4 linked regions of the Drosophila melanogaster genome follow. The protein of the gene in region 1 interacts with the protein of each later gene in a pairwise test. Each region holds a gene or a part of one and is shown on either strand. Other genes may lie near its edges.

Region 1 (6,383 bases):
AACTGAAGTGAACTGAAACAGCAAACTGAAATTGCCATTTACGCATTTGTTTTTCTTTGTCAATTGTTCCACTATTTAAGAGGTGTGGACCAGGTTCAAGTGCACATTCATAACTATTATATATTTGTAACAATATGGAGTAGTGACTGCAAGAGTTAAGTGATGGGTTAATGAACGTGCCGAAGGGAAATATATTGTTTCGCAGATAAAAGAAATGTTTGAAATAGTTTTGAACAATTTAGGGTGTCATTCGGGTTTATCGAAATAAATATTTGTAAATAATAGTAAATATTCGAAATAAAAAGAAGGGCAATGAAACCTTGAAATTTCAAGATTGTCATGTTTTAAAAATTTGTTGTAATTAAAACTCTACTTCCAAGCTGTGCAATCCATAGTTCAAAGAAAAATGCTGAAGTGACAGCATTCGTGCCAGGCACCATGCTGAAGTATTTATTCAGCGAAAACTACCAACTATTGGAGCTGCCCTCTTGTTTTTTATTTTTGCTAACACTTTCAGCTTTACATACAATTGGGAAACCAGTTAATTAATTTGGTTCGATTCTTGGCATCAAGATGGAATTCAAGACAGCCGCCAAAAAAAGTTTTCTTTATATAACAATTCATTAATTACCTTTCGATTTCTGGTTTTTACCTTGGGCGGAGTCATGAACCCGACACCTAATGCCATTAGCCCAGCCGTTGCGGATCTGGGATTACAATATTCGAGTGTTTGGATCGTTCAAGGAAATAGTTTTATTGCCAGCATAGCTGATGCAACTACAAGTTGTTTCCCCAATTCTAGTATCTATCGTATTTTGCCTTTGTGGGCACCCCAGGAGCTTGGCCGTTTGTTGAGTGGTTCAGGTTCTGATTATTGCTGTGATTTGCTCCACTATTACTACTTCCTGCCGGCGAGGAAAGGGTATAGACCTCATAGTCGGTGATGGTAAAGTTATAGTCCCCGAAAAGTGTCAGGTGAGCAGCGTTGGTTCCGTCGTAGGAATGCGGAAGATTCGAGTATGAGTCCATGTTTGTATTACAGTTGCTGGAAATGAGCAGATCGGCTCCAGCACCAAAAATGGGACCGCAACTAAAGGGGAAAGCAGACATGGTAATCAGTACGAATTCCTAAACATAATGTAATATATAAGATTATTTTAGACATCACTTACTCAGGATGATAGCAAATGGCATATGGTTTCTTTACAATATCAAACTTGACCGGCTGTTCCCCATTGGCTGGATTCAAGGCAAAGAGGAAGGCTCGCTCGGACTGAACATATCCCCCCTTTCGGCTTGTTTTGGCCCACGCCACATCCGTATAACCACCACTGATCTCTCCATGCGATCCCAAGCCAATAACCATGCAAGGAGCCACGCCGTCGCAATAACGATGAAAGGCTCCAGAATCGTAGCCATGAGTGGACGCTCGGAAAACTAATCTCCAGGATTGCTTGCCCACTCCAACCCAATTATTGAGAACAGTCTGTAGTGCCAGATTGTCATTCTTCAGGATTTGGGATCCGGGAAACATGTTGACCGCTACAGCTAGGCGGGGCTGAAGTCTCTTATCGTTATCCATCATCTTATTGGCATGCAAAGCGGCATAGCGATATCGTTCTAGGGATAGTTCCATAGGTACAGCTCCTGTAGGTTCCACTTCCTCCGCGAAAACTTGGCTATCGATGAGAAGCAGACGCACGTGACCCATTACACCGCTTAAGTGTTGGCAGACACGAGCACGCTCCTCCTCAGTCCAATGTGCAGTGGGTTGGGTGACTCCTGCCTGGTATTTGGCCCAGGATAAAACGCAGCGCCACACTTCCTCCTCTTCCAAGCAGAACTATTGGTAGTTAACAGTTTTGGTAATTAAAGAAATTCAGTAAATTGAGTGGTTATTCATTATAAACTCTTACATAGTCTGAGGAAATAATCTTAATAATGGCATCCTTTGTTAAAGTAAGGAAGGCATTAGTCTTAACGCACTCATTTGCATTTTCCCCTATGTAGATGATGCAGCGTTCCATAAACGAGGCAGCGCATTTGGCACCTGAAATTTAAAGGGAAAGTTTAAAATTAATTCCTTGTTTTTTAAAGACACTCAACGGCTTTTACCTTGAGACAGCATCCTATTCTATATGTCCTGAAATCGGATCGTATTTGCTACCTTACCCATTAGAAACACTTGATTACAGAAAGTCTACCATTTATTTCAACATTCGTCTTCAGATATCGGCTTTACATTTATTTTACTTATATTAAGGGCGTTCAGCGTTTGCAGGTGGAATTCGAAGGATTCGCAGGATGGCCGCTGAGTCGCCTAGTCCTTCGTGGGACTGACGTTCTGTATGAGCGTGATGTTGTCGCCCTTGAGCATGATCCTCCCGAGGTTGCGGCGCTGCCGGGTCTTCACATAGACTTCCTCGGCGTCGTCCAGCACCAGATTCATGTACTCATCGAATCCCACAATGTGGCCCTCGATGCGCAGCGATATGTTCTCGTATAACCAAACTTGCACGCGGGACCGGTTCTGCAGGTAACGGAAGATCAGGTTGATGGGCTGCACCATCACCTTCTGCACCTTGGGATTTCCTTTGAACGACATTTTTGCTGATTTCCGACGACTTAATTTGAGTTAAACAAATTTTCGCTTCTTTTTGCCGGCGTCTTCTTTTCGTCCAGGCGATAGGCAGAAATATCGATGGCACAGCACAGATGGTCACACATAATCGCGGCCTACCGAACTATCGACCAGCCTAAAGATACCAAAATGGTAAATCCTCTGGTAGCATAACCATATCGATAGAAACACTATCACAATCGCACTGTTAAGTTTTTGTGGTTGGGCAGAAGTTGTTGCCATTTATTCATAGCTGAATTAAACTATAGTTTATAAAGAAAACCAAACAAATGGCTATGGCTAATGTGGACAAAGGTGAACTTATGGACCAGGTTAAGCAACAGATTGCTGTTGCGAATGCCCAGGAATTGCTCACGCAAATGACCGAAAAGTGCTTCAAAAAATGTGTCAATAAGCCGGGAACTTCCCTCGATTCGTCCGAACAGGCAAGCTATACATATCTTATTTTGCACTATAGAATATGTATTTAAATAGTATTTCATTAATATCCAATTTAGAAATGCATTTCCATGTGCATGGACCGGTTTATGGACTCGTGGAACCTCATTTCTCGGGTGTACGGCCAAAGAATACAACGTGAACAATCCAAGTTCTAAACACACGAATCGGCTTCTGCATTTTGGAGCAGCTTGGGACTAACTATATCTGCCAGCTATTGATTAGTTGTTATATCTAAAGTTTGATAATGCAATAAAAACATGCATTGCGTGTTACGTGATTCTGATAACACAACGTGCATATGTTTTTTCTTATCGATATGTGATGTGGTACAAAAAATACCAAAACTTTCAGAATGGTTAGTCTCAATACATTTGACATAGCATATTATGTAGAATGTATAAAGTGTTTTGGCGCGAATATGCAACTTCACATAATTGCTTACTTTTAAAGGTGTGATTTTCTAAAAGAGCTACTCAATATTACTAACCTGCTTTTTCGTGTATATCCATAACGGCGGTTAAAAATGTGCAGGCATTATCCACCGACAATGTCGATATAACGTGATCCTCGCAGGCAGTTCGTAGCTCAACCACACCGATATCCTGTGCCAATATCATCATTTGAAATACTTGCGAGTCCTGGAGAACCAACTGAAAAATGAATTTTGGTTATAATTTTATTATGTTAGATGTTACTAATAAGTAGTTTTCTTACCTTTGCGGTGTAAACGTACAAGATGAACTGCCTGAATAGTTCCGGATTCACGTGTGGTAATCGTATGGTGGTCGGAGTTGAAGCTCCTGGGGCTGCTGGCGATACTGTGCATCCGGGAATTCGACACACTTCACCTCTCTTCGCAGTCTTGAAGCTCTTGCACCTGAAATCGAATTGAGTGAATGGAAAGGCAAGACAAATTAATTAAGTGACCAACTGGAATACCCGGGATTCCAGCACGCAACATTGTAAGATTCCGAAAAAGGCAACCGTAGGCAATTATCTTATTCCACAGAGAAAAATTATACAGTTATTGGCATTTATAAGATTTTAAGGTATCACCAAAATTTATTAATCTCTTAAGTATTTGTTTGAAAAAACAATTTAACTTACCGAGCCATTAGCATTAATCTATGGGCATATATGCGCTCATCTCTGCCACAAATGAATACCACATCTGCACTATCCTGATCCTCGGAAAGGCGCTGCAGATCCTCGATCAACTGGGGCAGACTCATGATTGATTTTTATTATTAAGTGCGGTATTCTTGGGCTCAAAAAATTGCAATCATTCGTGCAGAAGTGCACGTGTTGCCTTGTCCCTCTGCAAGCACTGGGTTTTGTTATTATTTTGCGATTGGGTTTGTTTATGTTTTCAACTTGGAAACTCTCTTTATTTCTCTCTTTTAATCGCTGGATTCGTGGGAGCGCAGAAACCGGTTCCTGGCTGAAAATTCTTGGCCGACACCAAGCCACAATCGATTTGGCAAACAATATGGCCTGGGAAACAATTGCAACAAGATTAAATGGTATAACTTTTCTACAAATATTATTGTAATAGTAATATTGTGCACTATTTATTTTACACAGCTGCAAACTAAGCGTTTTTTCAAACAATTTCGACCTTTCCTCCGCGAAATCTGATTTTCTTTGACCGCTGGTCGTTCTTCTCGCGATCACGATTTGCTAAAGACTGAAGAAGAGACTTGGGACAGGTTGCTCTTTTGGATCTTTCTCAGTGTTTCTCCCAAGCAGGTAAACGGGATTAGTTTTTGTTTTGCTTTTCTCCATTCCGCTCTCTCTCAGTGTTATCTTTTTTGAGAGACTTTTTATAGCGAATGCTATAGAAATTTTCATTTATGAATGAAACTAATTAAGGACGAGACGAATTTTTCTTTATTGTATTCGCAAAAATTCACTTTGCGCAATAGATAAAATGGTGTAGAGTTTCTCGACTATTAGATACCCGTTACATTCTATATGGTTATACGGTCAATGGGATTGCTCTTCTTCAAAGGATCAACGACTCGGCCACGGAAATATATGTTGTCATCATCGCGAATCATGAAGACAAAGGGACTATTGACTGTAAAAGTAACCACACTAGTCGCATAATCTGAAAAATACCACAGGCAATCAAGCAGGAACATGATACAAATGTGCCATAATTTACCAGATAATCCTCGAATGGGGCTCGCAGAAGCGGATCCTGCGGACCCGCCTTCTTCGTCAATCTCTATAAAGGCTTTGTGTACGACTTGGCTGATTCTAGTGCCAGACTGGTTCAGTAGGACGCTGATATCCGACGAACTATTGAAGAGATCCTGTATTCCCATCTGCAAATTTAGAAACATGTAGTATATTAAATAAGGTGAGCAGAATCTACTAACGCTTTTAAGAGTTTCGACGAGCTCCATGCGGAAATCGATTTTAAATTTAGGAAGCTGCACATGTACATCCATTTCAGTGAGAACTATCTGAGGGTAACTTTCGATTGTGGCTTCTGCCTGAGTTAGGGACCCATTGTCCTTGGGCAGAACGATTACCATTGAAAGGTTTGAGTATGCAAATGGAAGCTCAATAATTTGGTCTATGGTCGAAGTACGCATCTTAAATCGACCCACTTGCGACATCATATTGACATTTACTTGGTAACTTTTGGATACATAGAATACCTTGGGCTTGGTGTTCATCTTATCGAATCGCGTCTTCCAGTAGCCCTTGAAGAAAGCTGCGTTGATCATGACCGCACTTTCATCGGGCGTCAAGTCACTGGGTATTATAATGTCTTTCACATTATCTAGTGTCTGGTCGAGCACCCAATCGTTTATAGCCCAGGCTGCCTTCAATCGATCGGCCAGCTTAATGGCTTCTGCCTCGGCCCTAAAGTGCTTATTGACTAGTTTATTGTAGCGCTTGTTAACACCAATTGTTTCGTTGACAAACAAGCGATTCGCCAAGTGGAGAATGGCTACCTTCTTGCCCCTTTCGAGTTTAGTCAAAAGCTTATCATATATAGTAGCTACATTCTTTTTATCCTCTGGCAGATTCAGAGCCGTCCTCAGTTCATTGGCTGTATTTCCATCCGCTCCCATGAGGATCATGCTCATTCCAATCTCGACGCAAAGAGGCGAGGCAATGATGTTATATTGTTTATTATCCTGCAAAAAGCTTCGGTAAAGTTGCTTGGTGAATTGACCTAGCACTGACGTGGTCACTAAGATCCAACCTTTGGAAAAGGAAAAGAGTCAAAGGTGAGCGATTAGAAAAAATGGCGCTACTCACACAAGTACTTCATGCTATACTC
Region 2 (8,539 bases), on another chromosome or scaffold:
TGTTGTGGGCATGGATGTGGATCCATGCCAATGCCAAGCACGCCTGTTGCGCCTTCCTGTCCTTCCCAACCTTTCAGCCTTGCTGCCTTGCTGCTTTCCTTCTTCTAGATCTGAAATGTTGCCAAAGGCAACAGCAGGTGCAGCAGAATCAGCCGCAGCAGCACCAGCAGCAGCAGCGTCTTTTGGGCCAGCTCTCAAGTCTTTTTTGGCCTGGCCAAAAGTCGAAGGCAGGCAGAAAACAGAAACCTGAGCGAGCAACAATATGCTCCGCCTCCATCTCTCCAGAAAGTGAGGCATGCAAAAGAGCTCGCCCCATGGTGCAATTTTAAAATGAAAAACACGTTTTGCGCATGACTGACACATGATTTCTTTCCCTGCATATATATGTACGGATATATCTGTATATATACATATATATCTATATATATATATATATGTGTGTGGCATTCAAATATACTGGCAGCACAAGTTGGTGTGCGTGCCCTCGCAGAGCGAACTTCTCAAAGGAAGAGAAACTTTCGAGAACTAAGAGAGTCCAGATGACCAAACTGGAGGAGTCTTTCGTTTGGCCATCCATCGCAATGCTGTTTACAAAACGCACATCGCTCCTTGGCTGGCTTTGAAGCCACTTGGAATGGAGTTTACACGTTGCCAGCTATTAATTTGAGGCTCCTGAATCACTGGACTTATCTCCTTCGGTTGCTTGTTTAAGCAGACTTGAGCTTATGATTTGGAATAAGCAGTTGGCAAGGACCAAAAGGGATAAGGTGCATCGTTTTGCCAAATATTTAATCTGGTTGGTATTGTTATAGGATATGCTAGGATGCTTTCTATTATTTGTTTTGTATGCAAAGAAAACTTAAATGAGAAAAGTGGTACTAGATTCCAGTATTTGAATTAAAGCTATTTAGTTAACTCTAAAGCGTATGCAAATCAAATGTATTTATCTACAAAGTAGGTAATCTAAGTCTATTATTATTATTATATAATTAATGTGCTACGTTGGTAATCACTGCTAATAGTTATGCGTTTGTCACCTGGTTGAGTATGCGGTTTAATGCATACCAATCTAGTTTAAGCCTCCATTTCTCGCTCCCCCTCACTTGACACCCAAACCACAAAAATAGACACTCCGGGCTGTTCATAACCAATAGAGCAGCAAATAACTGTGTCGACGGTGGTGCATGTGATTCTGCCCCTACTACCGACAACCTAAACAGCAAACAGCAAACACCTAACACCATACACCATACACCTAACTCCATTCAACTAACACCACCCACAGATCCGGAGCTGCGGAGATCCAGAGAAGCAGCGACCTGAGAACAACCTGCACCCAAACACATATCGAATAAAACTTTTACCGCTGTATAAAAATTACAAGGTCTTTGGCCATTCAGCAGCGGAGTCGAATGGGAAATGGGAAATGGCAAATGGGAATGGGTGGGTCTGAGATGGGGTAGAAGGAAAAGAATTTTTACTTTCGCTTTCTGCAGTGGGTCCGTCCTTGTCCTAGCCGGCTCGCCATTAAACTTTTCACGAACCGAACTGGGACAGTGAGAAGTGTGTAAAAAATCTAGTAACAACAGAAAAAGATGAAAGAAATAAATATAAAAGAATTACACCAAGTTTGTCAGTGTGTGTGTGAGTGAGTGTGTGTGGAAGGGGCCCGTCTGTGTCTGATGTTGCTGCTGTGCACACATGCACACTCACACACCCGAACACTTACACACACCTAGTCAGGACAGGACATATGTATGCCGGAATGGCCATACCCGTCAGTATGTCTGTAATGGCCAACCGTCTGGCCATTTCATCGTACACGTGAGTGTGTATGTGTGTGTGTGTGTGGGCTAAGAGCTTCTGATTTTCCTATATACAATTATAATTTTATTGTATTTACTATTTTTTTCGTTTCTTTGGCTTCGTATTGAACTCACTCACAGACACAGAGGGGCAATGCATGTGGCAATGTGGCAAGGACACCAAGGAGGGTCAAATGGGATGGGTCGGGATGAGCGAGGCGGGGGGAGGGGCAAGCGAAGGGGGGCAGGAGAGTCTGGCAAATGGAGGTCAACGACTGAAACTAGTACTAATATGTGCAAGCGTTTGATAGCTCCATTCGTTTGTGCTAATGCAGAAAGAAATAAAACACAAAAACGAGGCAACACATAAAAATAAGAATTCCGTAGATAAAAGAAAAAGTTGCTTTGGTCCAAACCCAATCGTGTGTTAGTGTGTGTGTGTCTGGGATGTCTGGGATGCTTCCCTCACCGCAGTTAAGTGTGTGCAAATAAACCATGTGTCTGCTGTAATGTTGGACCTGTTGGCACCAATGATCTATGTGGCTTTAAGCACTATTGCACCTTTTTTATTGTGTGTTTTCGTTTATGATTAGCCCGATTAATGTTGTGTCGGCATTTCGCAGTGGAACGAATTTATTAATTGTCGGGGGATTCAATATGAACTTTATCAAATTATCTAACTATGGTCTCATGTATGGGCAATACTATTTTAAACAATGAATCGATTTTCAGAATTACAGTTATATAATAAATAAATAAAAATATGTAAATCCTTTGATAATTTTCCTAGTGTTGAAATATCAGTGATGTTATGAATGATGTTGTTTTACAACACTGAAATGCTAATGATGTACGAGAAAAATATAATTATAAATAAAATAAAAAATAAGAAAGATAATAATAAGCAACTTTATTAAATACTTTCTAATTTATAAAACAAGATGAGAATAGTGACACAGAAGCGTTCAACAACTAAACGGATAGGAAAATAACTTTTTACCATAAATACAATCAAAAAGTATTGCATACATTAAGGGGCCAATAAAACCGGTTTCCTGTGTTTGTTAATATTGCAATTCAATATAAACTTGGTAGATAAAGGAAATCTAACTAAAACTCTTTAGTTATATAAAATTTACATTTTTTCAAGCTTATTTTACAAACCAAGTATCATATGGACAAAGTAATATTTGAATCTAAACTCGGAGGTAAAAAAATTAAATAAAAAATTAAAAATATTAATTTTTGATGGAAAGCAAATTTAAGTAATTGCTAACGCAGTGTTAGGAGGTAAATAATAAAATTACATAAGATATTAATGTTATACACAATATCTATCACTCCTGAATATTATTATAAATAAATATGAATAAATACTTTCTCGTAAAATATTTCCTGCTCTTTTGTATAAAAAAGTTGTTAAGTTGTTATTTGAAGGACCTACTAAGATTTGTACTTATTAATTTATAAAATGTGGCAACTATTCAAATACACAAAGAACTGCACTTATATTGTTTTCCAAATTGTGTAAAAATAATTCGTTTTTGTTATGTAGAAAGGTAAACAATAAATCTTCAAAACTAATCTCTCGAAAAACTTTTTATGTTTGGTTTCCGATTTAAATAAATATTTTTTGATTATTTAATATTTTTTCTTGTGTCACCAATTCTTCAAGTTGTGTTTAAAACACTCAGTTAACTGTTATTAATTAATGCAGAACTAACAATTACACTTTACGGATTGCTCAATTCACCGGTGAAATCAAATACTAACCTTTTAGTTATCTTCCGGGGGCGAAAATGGATCGGTGCCTTCTTCCAGCGAAGGCGGGAGAAATTCGGTGATAGCGCAACTATTTGCAGCAGTTAAATTATTCTTATCTCGACCGGCGATGTTTTTAAATCACTTTACTTATAGTTCACATGGATTTGAATTTATTGTTTTCAGTTAATGTTGTTGTTCATTTGAAAGTATAACATCACTCGGTCAATCACAATCGAACACTGTGCTCGCGATGCGGCGTGATGTTTACCGCTGCTGTGGCGTGCGAATTTTAGCGGCAGGACATGCGGTGCGGTGCGGTGCGACCTCTCTCTCGCGCTCGTCGAAGGATATTGTGATATTGTGACGCTGCGTCGCTGTGACGTGGATGTGCGAACCTGAGCGGCTAGCGTGCGGCGACAAACTACCGCGGCGGACTTGAGTGAATTTTGATTTTAGCGCGGCGAATTTCCGCACGGCGACGACGGCGGCGACGTCACGGGAAATTTAAAGTCGCACGTCCACGAAATGCGGCGTTTCGTTCTCACTCACATACACAAGCACACTCGCAGATATATGCGTCCTGCAGTGGTGGTTGTGTGCTGGTCAGTTGGTCTGCCTTGGTATTAGTAGTTTTGTAGTTGTCGTTTTTGTTTCTTTCACGTGTGCGTGAGTCGCTCTCTCTCGCTCCCTCTCTCGGACTCTCTTTCGCCCGCTCTCTTTCGCTCTCACTGTTGCGAAATTCGCGGCCTTTTTCGGTGACAGCCAAATGTACAATGATTAATAACGGTCAAGACGGCGGCGAAGAAGTCCTCTCGCTTTGGCTGCCCCGTTCGCAATATTCGCATTTTGGCATTTTCGCATTTTGGCCGGCCCAACCACAGGCCAGTGTCCACTCACACACACACATATCGAGCACACATACTAACACAGCACATCCTCCCACACACACACACACACACGTGCGGACACACAGCTGTGTGCAACGAAGACGACGCAATACTCGTGCTAGGCTTTTTGAGATTGAGAGACGCACATCCTTTTCGGCCTCCTTTCTTGCGCCCACGTGTGTGTGTGAGCACAGAGAGAAAAATCTTGATACCTTAGTAAAGATAATGTTATTAAATTTGGTAAGAATTCGAAATTTAGTATAATAATTTAGCAATTTTGTATCTCTTAGTTATGTACATATATTCCATGATTATAACTATGAAAATGAAATTTCATACAAATAAACGAATAGATGATACGATCGCTTGTGATGAAAAGTATATATTACTTTTCTGCCAAGCTTATATTTCCTTGTATTCTGTATTAGTTTTAGGTAAAATCTAGATTTTTTCCAGTGTAAGACTGTGTGCAACCTCAGGAGGCATTTGCTTGCGTTTAGCTAAGCCATTTTCTGCTTCCTTAAACGCTGGGCAACAACTATCAAACGAGCAACGGATCTGCGAGAAGAACGTGAAAAACCTAGCCGAAATCCCTGTCTAATTTTCGCAGTAGGGGGTGCGCCTTTTATCGTCACTGATAATTCTGCTAGTTTTCCCGCTGTCATGTGCTGCAGTTGTTGCTGTTGTGATTGCGGCCAGTTTTCCTCGCTTTGTTTTGATACATGCCTTCATCGCAGATTACGTGGGCTCGCCTCTCTTTCGCGACCGTTTCGCAAAGAGCTGAGGCAAATGAGAACCGAACATCCTCTTCCTTAAGAGAGAGAGAGAGAGAGAGGGAGAGAGCCAGTGAGAGAGCAGCTTTCGTCCTCGTCTTCGGCTTTTTGCCGCCCGAACCGAACGAAGTTATGACGGCAGGAGGTGGTGACCCCACGGGGAAACCCCCCTTGGGAAACCCACATTCTTGAAAACAAGGCGAATCCGTCCAACAGAGTGGCTTTCTTGGCTCTTTTCGTCGCTCTTTTCGCTGGAGCGTGACCGGCGATCGCCGAAGGAACCGGAATTCTCGAACGGACACTCGATCGCAAAGATATGGGCATGACATAGTGGTTGTTTCTCCATCGACTTTTGCAGGCAAATTGCTGCGGTTTAGAAATGTCAGATGGCGAAATAATCGAATTCAAATTGTGGGACAAGAAACTAATCAGCTGCAAATTTCAGGTGATAGCCAGCTTCAAAATATGTATTTCCCATATTTAGCTACCAAGAATAATATAATTGTAGTGTATATAGGTAGGCAGGACAATAACTTATGTTTTCCATTAAAGTGCCGACATATTCATACATATTCATATACTTAGTGCACAACATATTCAATGCTTGGTATACACCAATGTTTAACATGGTTACGCATTAAGATGTTTAGGTTCCTTGTAATATTAATTACCGAGCTGATAAGCTCTAGGTAGGAATAAAAAACCATGTTAAATAGATTGTTGATATCATTCCCAAGCAAGTTTCAAGTCAAAGTGTATTTTGATTAGTTCTGCGAGAGAAGAAAAACCTGACAAGTATTTGCACCATCGTGGGATAGCCCCGAGATTACGATCTTATATAATGCGTGTGTACACATAGGCATTTTGAGGTCGTAGACTTAGTAGTTGCTATGCAAAACATTTGCGCAGAGCACACACACAATCGCACATACATAGCTCCCTATTTCCCTATTGTATCTGGCCAACGAAGGCGGCCACTGACCATAATAACAACAACGGCAACGAAAAAGACAGCAGCAGTGTCGCCAGAGTTGCTAGTTGCTGCCTTTCGGGAAATCGCTAAGAAAGGTTTTTGAATCCATGTCCGAAACGCACAATCACACGTACACGCACAGCCACACGCACACGAAAACACAGGCCCAAGGATATAGTGTAGTCGTACATATAAGTAGAGGCGTATACACAACAAGGAGCAACAATAACGCAGGACTACGGAATACGGACAGCGGACAACGGACGACGGACGACGGACTACGGACGACCACGAGTATAGATGGCCGGCATGGGGCCGCATTGGCAAGAAACATATCCTTGCCACTAAAAAGCCAAGCAGCCTGCCCGGGTCGCTTCATTTCGTCACACACACACACCCGCAGCCTCACTCACTGGACACACACTGAAGCAGTTTGGCAACACGCTACCCACACAGACGCACATTCTTCTTAGCATCCGCAGGCACATCAGCATCTTTAGCGTAAATTTTGCTGCTGCGAAAATTTAGAGTTGTTGCTTTATGCCAATGTGCGTGCTAGAGTGTGTGTGCTGGTGTGTGTTTTTGGGTATATATACTTCAGATTTTCATCGGCCAACCTAAAAACCCCCCGCCCCTTAGACAGCGGAGCCCAACCCGACCGATTGTCCATTGTCCATTGTGTCCACCAAGGCAACATTTTCCATTTTCGTTCGTCCTCTCTTTGGCCGCCGGACTTTCTCTCATATCTGCAGCTCCTTGCCAGCCGCCTTCGTCCTAGCCACCAAGCCACCAAAACCGCCCAACCGCCCACCACACCACCCCTTCAGTTGGTCAAAACCCCCCTTTTCGGATGTGTATGTGTGTCCATTTGTGAGTGTGTGTGTGTGTGCTGGATGCCTTAATGTCGCTGCGTGTGTGTGTACAATTACGAATTCGTCGTCCTCGACTAAACTCAATTCACTTTCTCCCTAACTCTGGCAAGCCCGCGTCGTTGTCACCGTCGTCCTGCGATGTCCTTTCACCCAACCCGACTCACCTCCCAGAATCCCCCATCCATCCCTGAATCAACCCAACCCCTCATGTCACACCTCCGGATGGCGAAGGAAATTTTCGCGTGAATTGAAAGATGAAGGCGCACTGGGCTGGACGTTGGTCACCCCCGATGGTTGGTTATATGTACACGCATAGGTCCTTGCTGATTTCCGTTCGAACGTGTGGCTATGTGTGTGTGTGTCGGTGTGTGTACATATGCTAGAAGACGTGTGCGCTTGATTTTCAGCACCCATCTACCAACACCCACCCGCCCTGGGAATCTGCATCCTCTCACATTGTCTTTGTATAACTGTTCCTAAAACAAAATTTTCAGTTTTGCCTTCGAAAAGATAAATGTGTGTACACGAGTTTTCTATGTATGCTTTTTCGTGCTTGTGTGCGTTTCTCCCGGCTACATGTACTCGTACACTGGGATCTACTCAAAATATATCCCTAGATGCGTACTTGTTTGCACCTTGCCTTAAACTCGATTTGTCCCTGCCCATTTCAATCAACTCATCGATCATTTATTTCTATTTCGATCACCATCAATTGGGTTTGGGAATTCAATTCGATACCAGTTTGGATCAGAACTGACATTGATGGTTACGAAAGATTAACAAAAATATGAACCACCTGGAATAGAAATTTATCGAGTTTTCAAAAATATCAACGAGAAATATAATTTCTCAGAATTTTAAGTGAAAGTTGATATAAAATTTAGTTGATAGATAATGAAGTCGATAAATAATACTTGAAGCCAATATATATATATTGTGTGCGAAACTATTTTATAGCAGTAGAAGATGCGGTTCCTTTTCACATACACCTGATTTCATGTACTGCAGATATATTTGCGATGGTCAAGTCGAGCCGAGCATCGTCGCCTGGAGACAGTCTAATCCGTTGTCCGCAATTGTGCTGACCTGGGCGGTCCTGCAAGATGCCCATGCTGGCAGTTCTTTCCTACCTAACCCGGAGCGAAACACCCTGCCTCCTTGGCCATTATCTGCAGTTTTGTCTAAGCTAAGGCGATTTGAGCAGACAAAACCGCAGCTCTCGCAAGTTGTTTGGACCCAGTGCGTCCTTTCGTCCTTCGTGCCCTTCCTATCCTTCAAATGAGCTCGACATGCACTAGTGGTATTCTATTTTGTGTGCTGCTGCCATAGCTGCTGCTTCTATGCTATGTTCCTATGATTTGCATATTCGAGCTCGTAGCTCCTTTGTTTGCACCCCCACCCCTTTGGTGCTGAGTCCTGGCTCCTTTGTCAGCAGCATTTACCTGGGCGAGCGTGTGTGCGAGTG
Region 3 (7,466 bases), on another chromosome or scaffold:
TAATTGTGTATATAATTTCGTTATCATCGTTTCCCAGCACTCTCAACTGATTACTCATCAAGTTCCCATATCCTGGCCAGGGCTTTCCAGTGAAGCGTTTTTAATGTGTTTATAAATATGCTGGCCAGACAGAGTTCCTTAGTCGCCTACCCCGCCCTTTGGGATTTCCTTGGACTAAGCTTGCAAAACTCTAGTTTATAAAACTGTTGTCCCTTTTTGATACGCTCCAAATTGACCCCTTGGATGCTTGGTTGTCGCTCAGTTTTGCGACCATGTGTCCGCCCGGTTTACCTTCTATCCAGGACATCCTGTGTGCTGCAGGACGAGGCCGGGGGATTTGTTATGAGTCCAGAGTTGGCAGACTAAACGGAAGCTCCGATGTGCCTGTTTATCAGCAAGGACACGCCTCCTGCGGCTTGTGGGCTAAATGTGAGAATTAATGCAAGCTCCTGGAGGCAGTGGATGATATTGAAATTAGTTGGCCAGACCGCAGGGGCAGTTGGGTGATAAGGCGTGGCCGGTTCTGGCATTTAATGAAATCGTTAACCCGGACAAATTTGCATAATCGGTTCGGGGTTTGGGCATCGGACTCGGTGTCAGCATCAGGCACCGGTTTCCGATGGTGAAATACTGGCAAATATTTGAACTATGGGCGGGCATAATTGCCATTCGATTGCCAAGAGTGAAAGTTGAAGGTGTTTGCTTGTGCAAAGTGAAATGAAATCCACGATAAATCGGTAGGCTGGCATAAAAGTATTGCTTAAATTCATTTGCAGACTATGCGATTTTCCTCCCAATGTCACCTCATCATCATCATCGGAGGTTTCACCATCCAATCAGCCTAACATATTCCTCCCTTCTCATTTTTCTCTCACTTTTCCCTTTGTTACATTTTCAATTTCATGCCTAAGTCTGCTTCTTTTGGGGGGGTAAAGATGAAACCATATTAGTTTCGGGCCTGTCGTTTTATTGAAGCAACAGAAATGATAATTTCGTCAATAGAAGGCAATGGGGACCACAAGCCCAACCCAACAAGATATTCCATCTTGTAAGCCCCGTGGCCTTAACAAAGGCATAGGAAGAACCCTCCGAATGCGCATGAATTTCAATTTCTTTTCCTTCGTTTTGGGCCAGGATTTGCACTCTTACCACCACCCGGCTTTTTGTTGGTTAATAATCAAACGCATTCGTTTGGTTAGTTGGGGTTGATGATGTAAATGGCCCTGTGGCTTTGGCCATATCCGCACTCTTTCTTCTTGGCTATTGATACTTTGCGATTGCCCTCGGTTATTTAACTTTCCTGTAGACATGTGATATGCGACATGTTTGGGGACTCGTCCATTAGCGCCCGGTCGGGAATACTTGCCCCCCTCCCCCTTGTTTGCCAGTGTTGAGTAATTGGATTAGATTACATTTTTTGCATCATCCTCTACCTGCCACCAGAGTCCTGTGGATACATTTTTGCGGCTGCCACAGCTGGTGTCAGGCCTGATTGATTGATTGATGGATGGGATGGCTTGATCTTGTGGCAATGTCAATATGCTTTTTACGGCCCTCGTCATTTGGCGCTAAGTTTATATTAAATTTCATTTTAATGGCCGTCGAAAAAACACAAACTCAGGCCGCTGATATGGGAAAATGTATAAGTATATATAGCTTATTTTCCCCTTCTTTATCGGTTTCCTACAGCATTGCTTGGGGAATGGGAGGACTCGGCCGTGCTGGGTATAATAACTTTCTGCATCATATCTGCAAGGCTATTAAATACACATAAAATTCGGTGCGGTATGCCAGCACTTTTCCCACGCTGCCCACGCAACACGGAACGCTTTTACCGCCCACACTTTCCACACTCTTGCCTCGAGCTGCAACCAATGGGAAAATCATAAAAATTTATGATTGCAATAATCTGGCTTTCGCACGAAACTTGTTTTTCATGCGGAAGTTCAATTGATGCAGGACCTACACAAAAATACAGACACATACATATAAAAACGATTCTTTTGCGGCCAGTATTTAAGCATCTCTTTTCAAGGCCATGGCCGTACTAAGAGAGAGTGTTCTTCAAATCATTTTATATTCACTCAATATAAAATCGCTTTATATAGAAAAAGTTCTGGAATTTGGATGGAAAAGTACAAAGGTATGATTAATGTTACTTCATATAAAAGCACATTAGAATTTAGTTGCGATGTGTGGTTTGGCGGGAAAGTAGTTACCAATGATTTTACGTGCCACAGCTGCGATTTCCTCATGTTCGCTGCTTTGGAGCATCCTGATATTATTTAAAGCTCCACTCCATTCGATGATGCCGGACACCTCTGCCGAGAAAGATGGATCCACATCTAGCATAGTGCTCAGTATATCGAGCACATTAGATAAGATGTCTCTTTCCTGGCAGAAGAGTAAATTGCAGAACTCTGGAATTACTCCCTGTCTCATAAGATAGCACAGGAGATTCTTGTCCTTATCGATGGCCAACGTGGTGATTGTCAAGGCAGCTGCAGATTTTAATGAAATCGCATCAGCTTTTAAGCACTCCAGTATTTTATGCAGGAGACCTGCATTCATAATGGCGTGCCTTTGGAATATATTTCCGTCAGCGATGTTTAGCAAAAGCTTAAGAACTTGACAGCGAATATCTGGATCACTATTGGACATCAGAGCCGATAAATGGGGCAAAAGGTTATTGTTAAGCAACTCTTGAATCTGCTCTTCGGATCCAGTTGCTATATTTATTAGGGCTTGCAGTGCGGCGTTCTGAACCGTAACGTTCGGATGCTCCAGCAAGTATATGATCCTGGGTACAACTTCAAAATCAAGTAACATTTGAATCGTTTCATTTCCATGGGCCAAATTACGCACTGCCATAAGTGCGTCCTCTAAAACGTTGGCCTCTGGGTTGTACAATACTATGTTCAATGCCTGAATGATCTCAGCTGCATTATCAGGTGGCGATGGTTGAGAGCTTATGCACAGTTTTCTTAGAACCCAGGTTACATGACTCAACATTAAAGTGCAAGTGCTTTTATCCTGAATAATAGACATCAGCTTTTGCATAAGTCCGTGTCTTATGATATAGTCACGGAGGTTCGGAGCAAAGTGCAAGAGATTCCCCAAACTCAATATACCCTTTTCGCAGACTTCAGGATCGGGTGACTGAAGAAGGCGAATCAATCGTGGCACGGCGCCAGCCTTCGCAATCTGCAAGAGTTTAATTACAATATAATAGGAATAATAGCAATAGCCTAGAAAATAATATAAAACCCACTAAATTTGAGTGCTCCGATGAGCCACTGGCTATATGAGCTAAAGCATCTGCGGCGTCGGCTCGAATTTTGTTCTTATTTCCGTGGCCAAGGGACTCCACCAGGTTTCCTATCGTATTGCTCTTAAGTAACTTATTGACGTCGGGAACAACTTCCGAGGAGGTTAATTTACATTTGGTTAAAGCATTGTAAATAGTCAGCTCTTTCTGGAGCTCAGCCTTTTTGGCTTTTTCCAATCGAAGCGTCCGCAGCATCATCAAGTTCTGCCCTTTTTTTAGGAAGCGGCGTTTACGCTTCTGCATTGTATTTGTATGGAAAATTTTGTATTGTGTATTTAAAATTTTGCTATGTGTTTGGTCTACGATAAAATTGTGTTTCTTTTTTTTAACAAATAGGGCAGAACCTTCTTAACTGAATCGTTTTCGGAAACTTTCTTGATCACGGGAACTTTTTGTATAACTGTGATAGTTATAGTTATAAATAAATATTAAGGTTACATTAGCTCTCAACTGAAATGATTGCATGTTATATTTATTCTGTTTGAATTGCAAACAGAATCTCCAAATATTTTTCACAGTGCAGAGATGAAGGCCACCCACCCAGTTTCAACCCACAGCACGAGCTGGCAAAGAGCCAGCCAGGATAAAGGACTATGCCTTATCGCATGCCGTCCGATCTGCGTTAGGTTATCAACGATATGCTTAATTTAGTTACCCCAGTAAAGACCTCTGCTCCCCATCCCATTGCTCCACTATAACGGTCCCTCGGCAAGTGTAATAATTTGTTGTTATTATCTCTCCGGCGGAGGCGACCCAAAAGACAATGCCGTTCACATTGGCCCAGTTCCAAGGGCGAAAGGCGGTAGGCATCCTTTGCATGTGGCATCCATCTATATGTAGATACATATACATATATATATATATTCGTGTAGGTACAGCAGCATAATGAGCGCATTACATGCCATGTGGCACTTGTGCCTATCTCCGATGTTCTCAACACTTGGCGCTTTGCCTGCGTCGAAGGCATAAATTTCAAGGACGCAAAAACAGGCGCGGGAGAATCGGAAAAACATGGCCCAAGAACATGCGAAGCGCGAAAAATAAATTGACAGCCCGAAGGTATGCAACGCTTTTGCTTGTGCTCTGCCATTTTTGACCTACATGTGGATAAATGTGTGTGGGTATGGGCGGAAATGGTGTGGGAGTGGCAGTTAATTGAAAAAATACCAACTTAAAGGCGAAAACTACACATTAAAGAACCAAAAAAATCTATCTTTGATCCGAAAATGCACAAACTTTTAAAGTGATTTTCCCAATGCAGTTGTCTAAAAATTACAATCTTCCGAATGTTTGTTTCCACACATTTAATAAAATGAAATTTTAGTTTTTATGACAATTTCATGGCGTTCATTGTGATTAAAAATTAAGTAGAGCACGCATTACGGTAATGCTCGGCATTTTGAAGAGAGCCCCTCATGCTGTTTAATAATGATAATGACTATAATTTATTGAATAAAAAATACCTCGTACTGGCCAAGAGCTCCAGTAATGTCATTAATTGCACACGCATGAATTTTTGATGCATTTGGTTGCGAAAATCAGTTAAACGTGAATTTATGCGATGCAGAAAGGCTCAAGGGTTAAACACGATGGGCATTGAAGTGTTTAAAACAAATATTTAATTAACGACAGGAATCATTTTGAAAGCGTTAAATCAGCAAAAATAAATCAGTCGTAAAAATACGTAACTAAACCAAATGGGTAAATGTTCCACAATTGCGTTTGTGCATGGGGCCGATTAAAATAAATATTTTATGAAATGAACCAAATTCATTCTCACCTTTAAAAAATGGGAATATGCATTCGATATTTCTCCATTTTTGAGGAAAGGAGTAGGCAAATGGCCGACGGTTATATGAAAATTGCCGCCCTGTGACGTGTGCGCAATTTCCGCCAGCCGAGGTTTTCCGAGGCGGGGTGATGCGGAGTGGATTGGCTGGCGGAATAGAGGCAGCAACTATGCCGGGGTCATTCATCCTGCAAAGTGGCGACACACCAAGCCATAGTCGTAGTCTCTGGCCAAACTCACCCGGCACCAAAATGACTAATGGGCCAAAGGGGCAAGGGAACAGCCATCAGAGAGAAGGCCAACGAAGAAAGGCAATATGCAAAATTCGTAATTTGCCATGGCAGACAGGATCCAGGAACCCCTGCTCCTCGGGGCATTTGCCAAACTCCACTGCCTCCCCTTGGGGCAGTTGTCGCATTCACTTTGACCCAGCAACGTTCGACTATTTTTATGACCAAATGGCGTTTTATTGCCGTCGACTTCTGTCGAATTGTGGACCAGAAATACGTATATATAGTGTAGTATAGACTACTATCCAATTCCGGCTCTGCTCTCAAATGTGGGACAGAATCTGGTTTCCTTGAGCCTGCCCGCCCGCCTTCCTGACTGACTAGTTCAAAACAAGTTGACATTCCTTGGCATCCCTTATCGATTTTCTGTTGTTCCGAGGCTAACCAAATCGCCGCCTTAAGCTGTCCAGGAATCCATTCCCAGCTCCTTCGATTTATATCAGGGGTGGATTCACACTGGGTGTGAGGCTTTGGCAAAACGTTTCAATTGATTTGAACATTTATTGCTTTCGAGGGGAGGAGGACGTCATGGGACATTGGCCAGACATCGAACGAAAGGTAGTCGAATTATTCCGTTGTTCGTATACGTATATAAAATAGTTTCTCTTCTCTTGTCCTTTTAAAGCAAGGTAGAGGAATCCTTGTGAACGGACATTTTCTGTTCCTTATTGCCATCTTGGCCTGGTTTGTTTTTCTCCGGCATTTTGTAGAGGAAAAATTCTAAGCTATTTGCCAATTCGATGCGGATTTCTCAAATCGATTCGCTGCGCCATGCATATTTTGTTGCTGTTTTTATTTTTGAAAACAGTTTAGCATTTAACCAACCATTGTGCACCAGGCATACCAATCATTTTTGCCTTCATAAGCCAAAGTATGGAGAATTTCGAATGCCAAATATCCGAGAATAATAATTGTTTTGTTTATTGCATTGGCTGGCATTTGGCTTTAATTGCACCGAAAAACATTCCCAAAACTAATTAAAATTCTTTTCATTCGCTTCGTTTGGCGCGCTTTGCATATTCAAATCATTAAAGAAAAATGCACACAAACAACAGCAGCAATTTTTTGTAATTTAGCTCAACTCAACACCTTTTTGAGGGGTTGCTCAGCCAAGCCAACGTGTTGGCATTTCTTTTTCAGTCTCTTTTTATATATTTGGTGTTTTTGTGCCCCGCAGCAAAAAAACACAATGAAACAACAGTGAGGAGGCAAAAAGAAAAGAAAAAACAATTTCAAAATTCACATAATGAAGTGGAGACCAAAAGCGGGGGGCTTGCCAAGTGGGTGGCGATGGGCGGTCGAAAAGGACCAAAAGCTATCCTTAAAGCCTTTGCCAAATAGCATGCCAGTTGGCAGTAAGCGAGAAATAATTATTTGCCGTGCTAAGCGAACATTATTCACTCGAATTCGGCCAGGAAAAGGCGTAACAGCCAGAGCAAAACACAAATATGTTAAACAACTCGGCCTGATACCACGAAAAAATGGGCAGGGAATTAAGGCTCTAAGTAAAAGTGTTTTCGCAAATTTATCACTGGAAAAAAAGTAAAGAGAAAGTTATACATCAATAGATAAGTTCAGTTGAAATGATTTAGTCTGCATACTGGATTTTCTTACGGTGTTCATTTAAGAGTACGTTACCCCACCTGGCTGCTTTTAATGTTGTCATTTTTGGGGCCGCCTTGTGATTTACCTTTTGCCAGCGCGTTGTTCCCATTTTCCTGGGAAATTTGTTGTCTAATTTATGTAAACCAGCCGCTCATCCACACCGCCTTTTTCCTCCCTTAACCATCCACAACTGGGTGTAATTTATGAAATTGCCATTAGTTCATGCTCTCACGTCTTTCACTCACTTTTCACTCGTTCACTGCGTTCGCCGCCATTGACATTATGAATGTTTTTCAATTTTATTTATGACGCAAATTGTTAATAAATGCAGCCGACCTCGGAACGTGACTTACTCGATGTCTTATCGCATTCGCCGGAATGATTAATGTCTGGCATAAACGAATTGCATTTTAAATAAATTATTACGCATACGCAGCGTGGACCGAGGCGTCTC
Region 4 (9,291 bases), on another chromosome or scaffold:
CTGCTGGACCACATGACCCGAATCCGAGTTCATTTCGCAGTAGTAGTCCCCGGTGTCACTGGACTGCACGTTGGCCACCTGCAGGCTGCCATTCGGCCAGAGCATTATGCGATCCGGCGGCGGGAGCTCCGGGTGTCTGGAGTCCACCAGAGCCACATCGTCCCGATGCCAACGGACGTAGCGGAAGGGAGCTGGGTATGTGAGGTAATAAATTTGATGAACTTATGTGTTTTATTTTTATGTTTTCGCGAATTCCATTTTTATCTACCAAATATTTAAAAGAACGAAACAGAATTCAGCAGAATTGTATCTCGAATCTTAACAGTTATCTGGCGCTTATCTCACTGCCAAGATAAATAAGAATAAACAAAAGCATCCGCTCGAAGCCCAAATTGTTTGCATTGATCATCGATATATGAACAATAAAAAGTATACGTTGTTTTAGCTAACGAAAATTTCTATACACTAAGCAGATCTATTCAAAATGTTATTGTTTTAAAAACAGAAATATACTTTATCAATCCCGGATTATTTATACCATACTATATTACTTTAAAATGTAACTAATAACTTCTATACCAGAACTATTGTAAATAACCTACATATATTGGCATGCCAAACTGAAAGGCTTAGTTAAATATTTCTTCATGGGGTGGATTTGGACGACTCTGTTCGTAGGGCTTCCCGCACACACGCTAATTTGTAAGTTTGTGTAATCTTGTAACCCTTTGGAAGTGTAATTGCTTATGTCAATAATCCTTTAATTGGCCATTTAACAATATGTCTCGGGAGGGTCTTGCACGGCGACTTGAATGCGCCGCTAAGTGTGTTAAGCGTTCAATTAATAGAATCCGCTTCTGGACTTTCTCCGCCGTAACTCTATTATTGTCGGATAATACCTCCATTTGTGGCATTGTGAGTTCATTTCTTCAATCGAATTAAATCTCATTGTTATGGCCAATTGCTGCTGGTGGCCGACTCAAGGCCCCAAAAAGCGGGGCTAATCGCCAGAAATACCCACAATGTGCACTGAGATTAGTACCGCATTTAGTTAATCACTTACTGTTTAAGGTGCACGGAAGCTGCACTGTATCGTTCTCATAGGTTTTCACTGTGGTTGGTATGCTCTTGAACTTTTGACTGTTTTCGAGATCGTTGTTAAAATCCAGCTCGGCTTGCACTTGGCCAAGGATTAGGGCCGCAAGCAAACACCTCACCACTGAGCACATATGGGGCGTCATTTTATTTTCGCTTAGTTTATATTAGCTATATTTCTTTAAATTAAATTACACTGTGATTTGGTAATTCTATAATTCACGGTCGCGTGTCGGAATTAGAACGGTCCGCTCTGGTCCGCGACAAAGTCAACTTTGAACTGATCGCTTGAGCTGAAGCCACAGTTGGCGTCCCCTGAGCCGCACACACTGCACCACCACACACACACGCACATGTACAGTGGAGCCCCGAGGGGCGGACAATGGAAGATGCCCGAGTCCGGGGCGACGATGAAGAAGCCGCTGACGCTGGACAGCACCCAGCACTTGTGTATAAGGCATGCCGATGCCGGTTGATTAGTCGCCGCCAAGGAGATTCTCCCACATGGGTACACAGAAAGAAAAAGCGGGAGCACTACTAGAAATCACTATACGATGCTGTAAGATATGGTTCAAGTTGAATTTCTATAACACATACTTTCCCTGCTCGAACTAACTTGTTAATGGATGATAGCAAGCTCTATAGGCGGGTTGAGTAGCTGGCTATATCGGAGATTTTACGTATTGATACCATTTTTCGCTGTGCATTGATGGGAGATGTGTGTGTGTAAGTGGCTTTGGGATGCACCCACACCGATGTCGCTGCAAGAACATTTGCATGGGCCACGCATCGGTAGTTTTCGGATTCAGAATCGAGATTCCGTCGCTGATCTATTACACTCTCCGCTTCAGAGAACGTGCTGCTGTTGCATATTCCGAGATAAAATGTCATTGTGCCACAATGGTGCCCCCATCCCAGTCGTCATCATTGTGATCGGATCAGTCACATTCACCATTTGGAAACAATATGTTCGGCACGGCGAGGTTCCCAAAAAGACAGAACGAAACAACTTGGAAAATATTCGAGCGGAAGTGCATTATATAGCGATCAATTCAAGTTTATTTCAAATTAGCATCCTATTTAGCATGTATTTCGATCGATTGCAGCGGAGTTAGCTCGAATATGCCTTTCAAATATTGACCGTTAAAGTCTCTTTATATATTTGCAGATCTTGAAAAACGTTTTTCCCTCTGACGAAACGCGATTGTGTTCAATTAAAAGACAATTTCATCGAATTAATTGAATTAATTTGGTGAGAACATGAAAGGAGTCAGCCAGCTGCGCAAACAGACTGCAAACCAATTAAGAGGAGCCAACTGTCCAACAGTCCAGAATGGTGACCATAAGTTTACTTTTCATTGGTGCTTATGTGGGAATAGGCGCCAAGTATACAAGATAACAAATCCTATACAGTATCCCAACACTAGATCAATAACATTATTTAAGTCTTTTTCTTTATTATAAATAATATTTATATATGTATATTTAAGTATATGAAAGCTGTTGCTACAACTGATGAATTTTGCCTTAATCTAATACAGCATTGAACGGTTACAACCAACGGATACATACTCGCTTGAATGAGTCTTATATAACCCTTTCAATAATCCTCTTCATATTTGTCCATGGAATATCCTTCAAATTTGCCATTTGCCTGAGTAAACGATTAAGTCTTCGCTGAAAACTAATTCCGTATTAATTATGTTAGTTGTTAATTTATGGAACAAATCGTTGGAAATGATTAGGCTGGATGGGGTTTTACTCTTTTCGTTATAACATTTTTAGCTTAAAACTTTAAAAATTTCACAATATATACTTAAATAAGTTCGTTATCTGCATAGGCATTCCAAATGTTCGAAATTACTGTTGATTCTTAAGTGTTGCTTGCATAATTTTTCTAAAAATTATATCATAATAGTGAAACAAAACAAACACAAACAGAGAAAGTATCCTCGATTGGGATATTCAATTCGCCCGACCTATCTAAAACTTTCTGTGTCAACCTTATTATATATATATATGAACTGTAACTATAAGCCGAGCTGATTGCCCGTCGTTTTTTTTGTTGCTCTTTAAGTTGGTTGAGTCGTTGAAGCAAACGATCGCTGTATTCATTTCATTTGGGCACTACACTAAACTAGGACGTAAACATGCGACGCTTTGTCAGTATATGTATGACCAGCGGCATCCTTTTCTAGATAAGACCGCGCTTTTTTTTGTAATCCTCTAGATTCAGCGAACGTTTGGAGACTGTTTCAGCTGGTTTGCTAGCCGGCTTGGGCACTGAATTCGTATTGACTAAAAAAGAAAATGGTTATGCCCATTGCTCAACTGCAGAATACGTTAGTTACATACCTGGTAGCGGAACATCTAGGTCAATGTCAAAGTCATGCAGTGAGTAGAGACTGTAGTCCTTGGAGTCCGTGGACCTGACGCTTGCACTCGAAGTTCCTGCTTCGTTGGGCCTCTTTTTTCCTGGGGGTGGCGGCGGCAGTGGTGCCAGTTGCATGTCATCTTCGTCCTTCTTGGCACCCTTGAAGCCCATGCGCGGCTGAGTAATGCGACGTGTGAAGGGATCCGAGATCTTGAGGCCTTTGTTGGCCCGAGCCTCCTCTAAAATTGCCTTCTCAGCGTCCTCCACATTCTTCTTCCTGTTCCTGTCGTTTATGTAGGAGATCAGATTGAGGGTATGGGATCTTCTTTTGTCGAGCTCAGAGGCTCGGTTCTCCAGCTCGTCGATTTGCTGTCCCAGATCCTGTGCAATGTCGTAGTCACCCCGCAACATGGCTGCATCTCGCTCCTTCATCAGGCAGGTTTTCTTCATCGCATAATTGGTGGGTCGGTTCCGGAAGCGGTTCTTCTCCTCCACGATCTTGTCCACGTCCTCGTCCTTGAATTCGTAGTTCAATGCTTTTTTGATGTCGTTCTGCTTGATCGCTATTAGATCAATCGTTGGCATCTGGACGTGCGACTGCTGGCAGACCTCGTTCCACTTGTTGAACTCGTTCTCCGTAAACTCCTGGTTCGAAATGAACTCGAGTCGGAAGACCCGCTCCTGGGTTCCGTGCTTAAGTCTCAATCCACGATTGGTTCGTGTAGTGCCCAGACTGTAGATCTTCCCCGTCTCAACCACTCCCACAATTTCGGCCACTCGATACACGGGTTTCTGGCCATTGTTTCCGATACTTATCCGGACAAAGCAGTTGAGTACAGTGCTCTCAAAGATTGGCAAGTTCACAAATCGCTCCATTTTGTAGCGAGATAGACGCAATTTGTTAAGATCCTCGCGTGTGGTTATAAAAACGGGCCGCTGAGGCGCCTTTTCTTCGTCCTCGGATTCGCTGGAGGCCTTGCTGCTGTTGGAACGTGAACGTTTGCCCGCGGGCTTTTCTTCCTCATCCCAATCGCTGCTGCCTGAGTCGTCAGAGTATATTTCAGAGGCTTTCAGTTTCACGGCCGATTTACAACCAGATACGCTATCGAGTTCCTCTTTGTCGTCATCACGATCTTTTTCTGCCATGCGTTTGGCTTCCTCCTCTTCTGCAAGGTGAATGGAAAAAACAACACATTAGAGTCGTATGACGATTATGATCGACTGATGCTTACCTCTTTTAGCCTTGCCCTCTCTTTTGGCTTTTAATAAGGCCATGGCATTGCTCCTCTTGTCGTCCGTCTTGTTGGCCTCCACGTTCTTCTTGCGCTCCTTGGAACGTTCCTTGTGATCAAAGTAATCAGAGACGCCAGCGGAGGAAGCTGCATCGTCGGGCATAATACTGGCCACTGCCGCTGAAGTGGAAGCCGCATCTCGGTTAAGGGCAGGCGTGGACAACGGACTCGCTGACCGTACTTCGTTGCTGGGCTTGGGTTCGACATCTAAAAGTGTGGATGTGGAAGCTTGAGTTGGCAAGGGCGCCTGGGCTTCCCTGGCTTTCCTCGCCTTCTTCTCGCGCTTTTCCTTCTTCTTCTTGGCCCGTTCTCCTTTGTTCTTGGACTTTTCTTGGTTTTTCTCGCCGCGCCTTGCCAGCTTCAGTTTCCGTTCGATTTCCCAGCGCGTTCGCATAATCTCGCGCTGCTCAATGCGCTTGTAAATTTCAGTTTCACGCTCCTTCTCGGACAAACCATTGAGACGCCTTCGATCCTCATCATCGCCCATGAGGTCATCATCGAACCCGTCGTCAAATTCCGAGTCGGAGCTGGAGGAAGAACTAGAGGAGTCGGAGCCGGATGAGGAGGAGTTGGACTTGGACTTGTCGGAATCGCTATCGGAGACCTCGCCCTCCTCCTGCTCGCTGAGCTGGGCGGGCTGGGAGGCCTGCTCCGGGGGCTTGTGCTCCTGTTGCGTCTGTGCAGGACTCTGCCTCGCTGGCTGCCTCTCATCCTGACTGTCGTCATCCCAATTGGACTCCGAGGAGCTGGAGTCTCTGCTGGGCTTCTGACGCTTCTTCTTCTTGGACGAGGGAGCTCCAGCTTTGTTGTTGGCCCAGTCGGAATCAGAGTCGGAGCGGGAACTTGACTTGGCCGCCGTTTGGGGCTTCTTTCGCTTCTTGGCGAGCGACATCAGGTCCTGGGGATTACATATAAGGTGTATTTTCAGTATTTATATTGATTTTCGTTACATCGCAATATGGAGAAAGGGGCGCGGATGATGCATTTGATCTATTCTATAGCCACTCACCGATTCCAGATTGGTCTCGGACTCGCTGTCGCTATCGCTGGAGTTGGAGTCGATCAGGGATTGCGTCCGCCGTTTGCCCATTTCCGATCGTTTCCTGGCCTTTACTTAATAATAAAATTTAACCAAATCAGAACGAAAAAATTTTAGTGCGTGCCGTTGGAGATGGCAACGAGTGTGATATGGCCTATCGGGATTTTGTCTGTCCTCGCTACGTGCTATCGATATGCTAGGGCTGGCAACAGTAATCGAGCTGTCAGCTGTAAGCGCGGGAAAACTATTTGATCCCAGGGAACACATTGAGTGGGAACAGTTTCAAAAGGGATTCAAGGGGAATCTCCGACTTTTATTTATATTTTTATAAATAAGCAACAAATCGTGTTTTCAAATTCACGTGTAGCTTAAGTGAATTTACCCAATTGGATTCAGTTTATTTTATGTAAGCAAGTTATTCTAACTTAATAGTAACAATAATAATAGCGAATATAAACAATTGTATATCTTTGTATCCTTGACAACTATCTTCGAACTCATTTTGCTTGTAAAATTGTTAAAAAAAAAAAAACAACTTAAAACGAATAGTAGTCCCTTTGATTGATTCATTTTAAAATATCAGACTCTCCTTTTTAAGTAATTTGGTACCCTTGTATGTCATGTGACACCCTTAAATAATCGCTTATTTTGAACTCGAGCCCAATTCCTTTTGGAGTTTTTTGAGCTCGGACAGGACGCGACAGGACCTACCACCCACCACTGCGGGGAAATACCTTGCGGCTGGTGCAGCACGTGCACATTTTGCCGCGCTGTCGAGCGCAACACTGAATCACACTTAAAGCAGAGTTGAAAAAATACGGCGAAGCTGTTCGAGCAAGGTAAACATAAGGGGTGGGGTGGGGACGTGGGTGGAGGTGCAGGGGAATGGAAATGCCGGCGGCGGCAGAATTGAAATGCAAATTTCGGCATCCCCATTATCCCTATCCCAGCCCCCTTCAATTTGCATGATGATACCGAATGGCTGGGCGGGAATGCTGACTTTGTGTACCCTGTAATAGGCAAACATTTGTCTGCACGCTGGTAAGTGGGTTATGTACTTGTTTGTGCCCCACGCAAAAACACATTTTGAAAACTAAATTAAAGCCACACCTGCTGCCCCCCTTCCCCACACATAAAATAGCTTACAATCAATATTAATTAAAATGCAGGCGTTTTCCAGGTCCCTCGAGCGCGCTTTCCCTAAGTTCATGCTGCCAGCGGGGGCGAAAGGGGTGGGTTTTTTTTTGGGGGGTGGAGGGTGGAACACGCACCCACATACGAACTTTCATAATTCGCCTTAAATGCTGCGTGGCAATTTGCAGTAGCAGCAGTTGTAGCAACAATAACAGCGCCACGAGGAAGCCCATTGCACATTCAACAAAGTGCACATTCTGCAGCAACAACGACTACGACGAGAGCAGCAGCAATGCGACAACTCATGAAAACAACCAACCCGATGCCACCGCCCAACCGAAAAACCATATTTCAAAACAGTGAGTTCTCAACGTGATGAACAAATAAATTATTTCTTCTGTTACTATAAATCTCTTTTTAAAATTGTGTGCTTCACTTTAAAGATGCCTTCAATAAGACCCTTCGAAACATAATAAACATTATGAACTACCCTTGCCCGTAAGTTTCTCAATTCCTGTAAACAATATATTTTCCCATTAATTTGTTGATCTGCGGATTCTGTAATACAAGACCATTTCGCAGCGACCCCTGTAGATGGATTTCGCATTAACCACCCAACCCCCGACGATCCACCCTCGAAATGCCGAGCTCGGAGCTTTGAAGCTCAGCTTTGGAGCATGCGCAGCAGAGCGAGAGAGTGAGGGCGGTAGAGAGAGAGAGAGAGAAAACAAGAGCGGCGAACGCCCAAGGGGGTTGTCCCTGCCCCCCCGCTTTGTTTTTGCCATTTTTGGGTTGAAAGCTCTTGTCCGGCGGCGCTGTTGCGTTGGCGTTGCGTTTTTGTTGCGCCGGCTGTTTTGCCAAAAGTGGTAAGAAAGAGTGAGAGGGAGCGGAAAAAAACCATTCTCTCGAGAGAGCGAGAGCGGCCATTAAAGCTCGGCTCATCTAGCTGTTAAAACTAGCAAAGTTCGCTGGTGAATTTGAGTGCTTTTTTTTCTTTTTCGCCAGTTCAACGAAAGAAGCTCGCGAGTGCGGAGCAAATAACGGTAAACGCCAGCTCCAATAACGGTCCATCGCAGCATAGTGTAGTGTAGTAGTGTAGTGCTTTGGCGACCGTGTAGCGTAGTGTTTTCAAGTGGAGTGCAGACGGGGGTGGTTGCAAACAAAAAGCCCATAAAATACTAAACGCAAATAGGCAAAGAAAGAAAAAATATTTAACACAAGTGCGTCGGTTCAGTGTTTTGTGGTGCGAAAATCTCACGAAAAAAGAAAACAAGAGGAAAAATCCAATAAAAACATGGCCCGCTGAGCGTTGAGCCTCACATAACGGAAAAGGTGAGGATGGGGTGGATACACTGAAACTTCAGCTTGGACTTAACTTAAAATCTAAATTTAATCTATGTATATGCATATCAATATATTGTTATAAATGTACAAATACATCATTATAATTTTAGTATTATTATTCATATATAAAGTTACGTTCACTGATCGAATATATAAGTTTCTAAGCTTATATTGTTTTATTTAATTAAATAGTTTTGAAATCCGAATATTAAATTTACTTTACTTTTTTCCGAGTGTGTTTCGGGTTTATGCTGCTTGAATAAACTCTTTCTTCCCAAGACCACATTTTTTGTTGTTAAAACAAATCTCACAGAGCAGCAAGTGACAGAGTTTTAGTTTTCCGCACTTTTTCAATATTTTTTGTGGCCAAGCCGCGGGCGTGGCTTTCCCCCTATATTTTCATTTATTTTTTTTTTTAGAAGGATGCGGCATTTTGTTTTCATTTTTTGTTGGCCCTTTGTGCTACCCGTCTTTTTCTGGGCCCGCCTGGCTGTCTCTTTCTGGCTGTTAATTTGTCGTGCATTTGCAGCTGGAGAAACAACGTCAACAGCTAACTGGGGAATTACAAAATCCCGCTCGTCCGAAAAAAAAAAACGAGAATAAACTAAAAAGAAAAACAAGCGCGGAAAGTTGCTCGCTAAATAAAGGATTTTCCACCCAGCTGGAAAGTGTTCAGCGGGTGAGTTTGGGCCAAATGAATATTAATTGGCCTGGTTCGGTGGTGCTGACTGAAATGAATGGCTGCCAACTATCTCGGTCAGCAGAGAATACAAATTAGGAAATTACTCCAAATAATTTGCACAATTAGTGGTTGAGTTTTGGCGAGTAATTTGATTTGGAAGCTGTGAATTTTAATTTTGAAAATCGGACCAAGCTACAAAGTTGGAAGTCCATACTCCTCCATCCATACGCACTTCACATAAAGTTGGCTTGCATACTCCGCTTAAGTCGAACATGATTAGTTCTTCCCTCGGAAACCATTTTGATTTAACACATAAGCTCCATTTTAACAT

Evidence for each region.
Region 2: the proteins of SmE (region 1) and dan interact in a two-hybrid assay, tested with the Drosophila melanogaster proteins (one large-scale study listed by BioGRID).
Region 3: the proteins of SmE (region 1) and alphaKap4 interact in a two-hybrid assay, tested with the Drosophila melanogaster proteins (one large-scale study listed by BioGRID).
Region 4: the proteins of SmE (region 1) and Rtf1 interact in a two-hybrid assay, tested with the Drosophila melanogaster proteins (one large-scale study listed by BioGRID).

The regions. Positions count from the first base shown.
Region 1 is NT_033779.5:7,882,739-7,889,121, forward strand, and holds SmE (small ribonucleoprotein particle protein SmE), read right to left. Parts: upstream 2,713-6,383; 5' UTR 2,606-2,712; coding exon 2,321-2,605; 3' UTR 2,192-2,320; downstream 1-2,191. Other genes in the region: CG7102 (uncharacterized protein), read right to left, coding at 799-1,090, 1,173-1,843, 1,917-2,050, 3,570-3,732, 3,797-3,959, 4,190-4,314; CG34132 (uncharacterized protein), read left to right, coding at 2,911-3,066, 3,139-3,237; Spn28Da (serpin 28Da), read right to left, coding at 5,053-5,192, 5,250-5,412, 5,467-6,305, 6,362-6,374. UniProt on the Drosophila melanogaster protein: Plays a role in pre-mRNA splicing as a core component of the spliceosomal U1, U2, U4 and U5 small nuclear ribonucleoproteins (snRNPs), the building blocks of the spliceosome.
Region 2 is NT_033777.3:25,180,469-25,189,007, reverse strand, and holds the start of dan (distal antenna), read right to left. Parts: upstream 4,626-8,539; 5' UTR 3,579-4,625; intron 1-3,578. UniProt on the Drosophila melanogaster protein: Probable transcription factor with a role in the retinal determination (RD) network. Regulates ato expression and is required for normal R8 induction and differentiation.
Region 3 is NT_037436.4:6,007,381-6,014,846, forward strand, and holds alphaKap4 (alpha Karyopherin-4), read right to left. Parts: upstream 3,642-7,466; 5' UTR 3,572-3,641; coding exon 3,272-3,571; intron 3,205-3,271; coding exon 2,176-3,204; 3' UTR 2,066-2,175; downstream 1-2,065.
Region 4 is NT_033778.4:22,371,752-22,381,042, reverse strand, and holds Rtf1 (Rtf1), read right to left. Parts: upstream 5,954-9,291; 5' UTR 5,852-5,953; coding exon 5,771-5,851; intron 5,660-5,770; coding exon 4,702-5,659; intron 4,636-4,701; coding exon 3,451-4,635; intron 3,394-3,450; coding exon 3,290-3,393; 3' UTR 2,559-3,289; downstream 1-2,558. Other genes in the region: wrapper, read right to left, coding at 1-191, 1,064-1,241. UniProt on the Drosophila melanogaster protein: Plays a role in transcription-coupled histone modification. Required for methylation of 'Lys-4' of histone H3. Plays a role in regulation of transcription. Required for maximal induction of heat-shock genes. Plays a role in Notch signaling in the wing margins.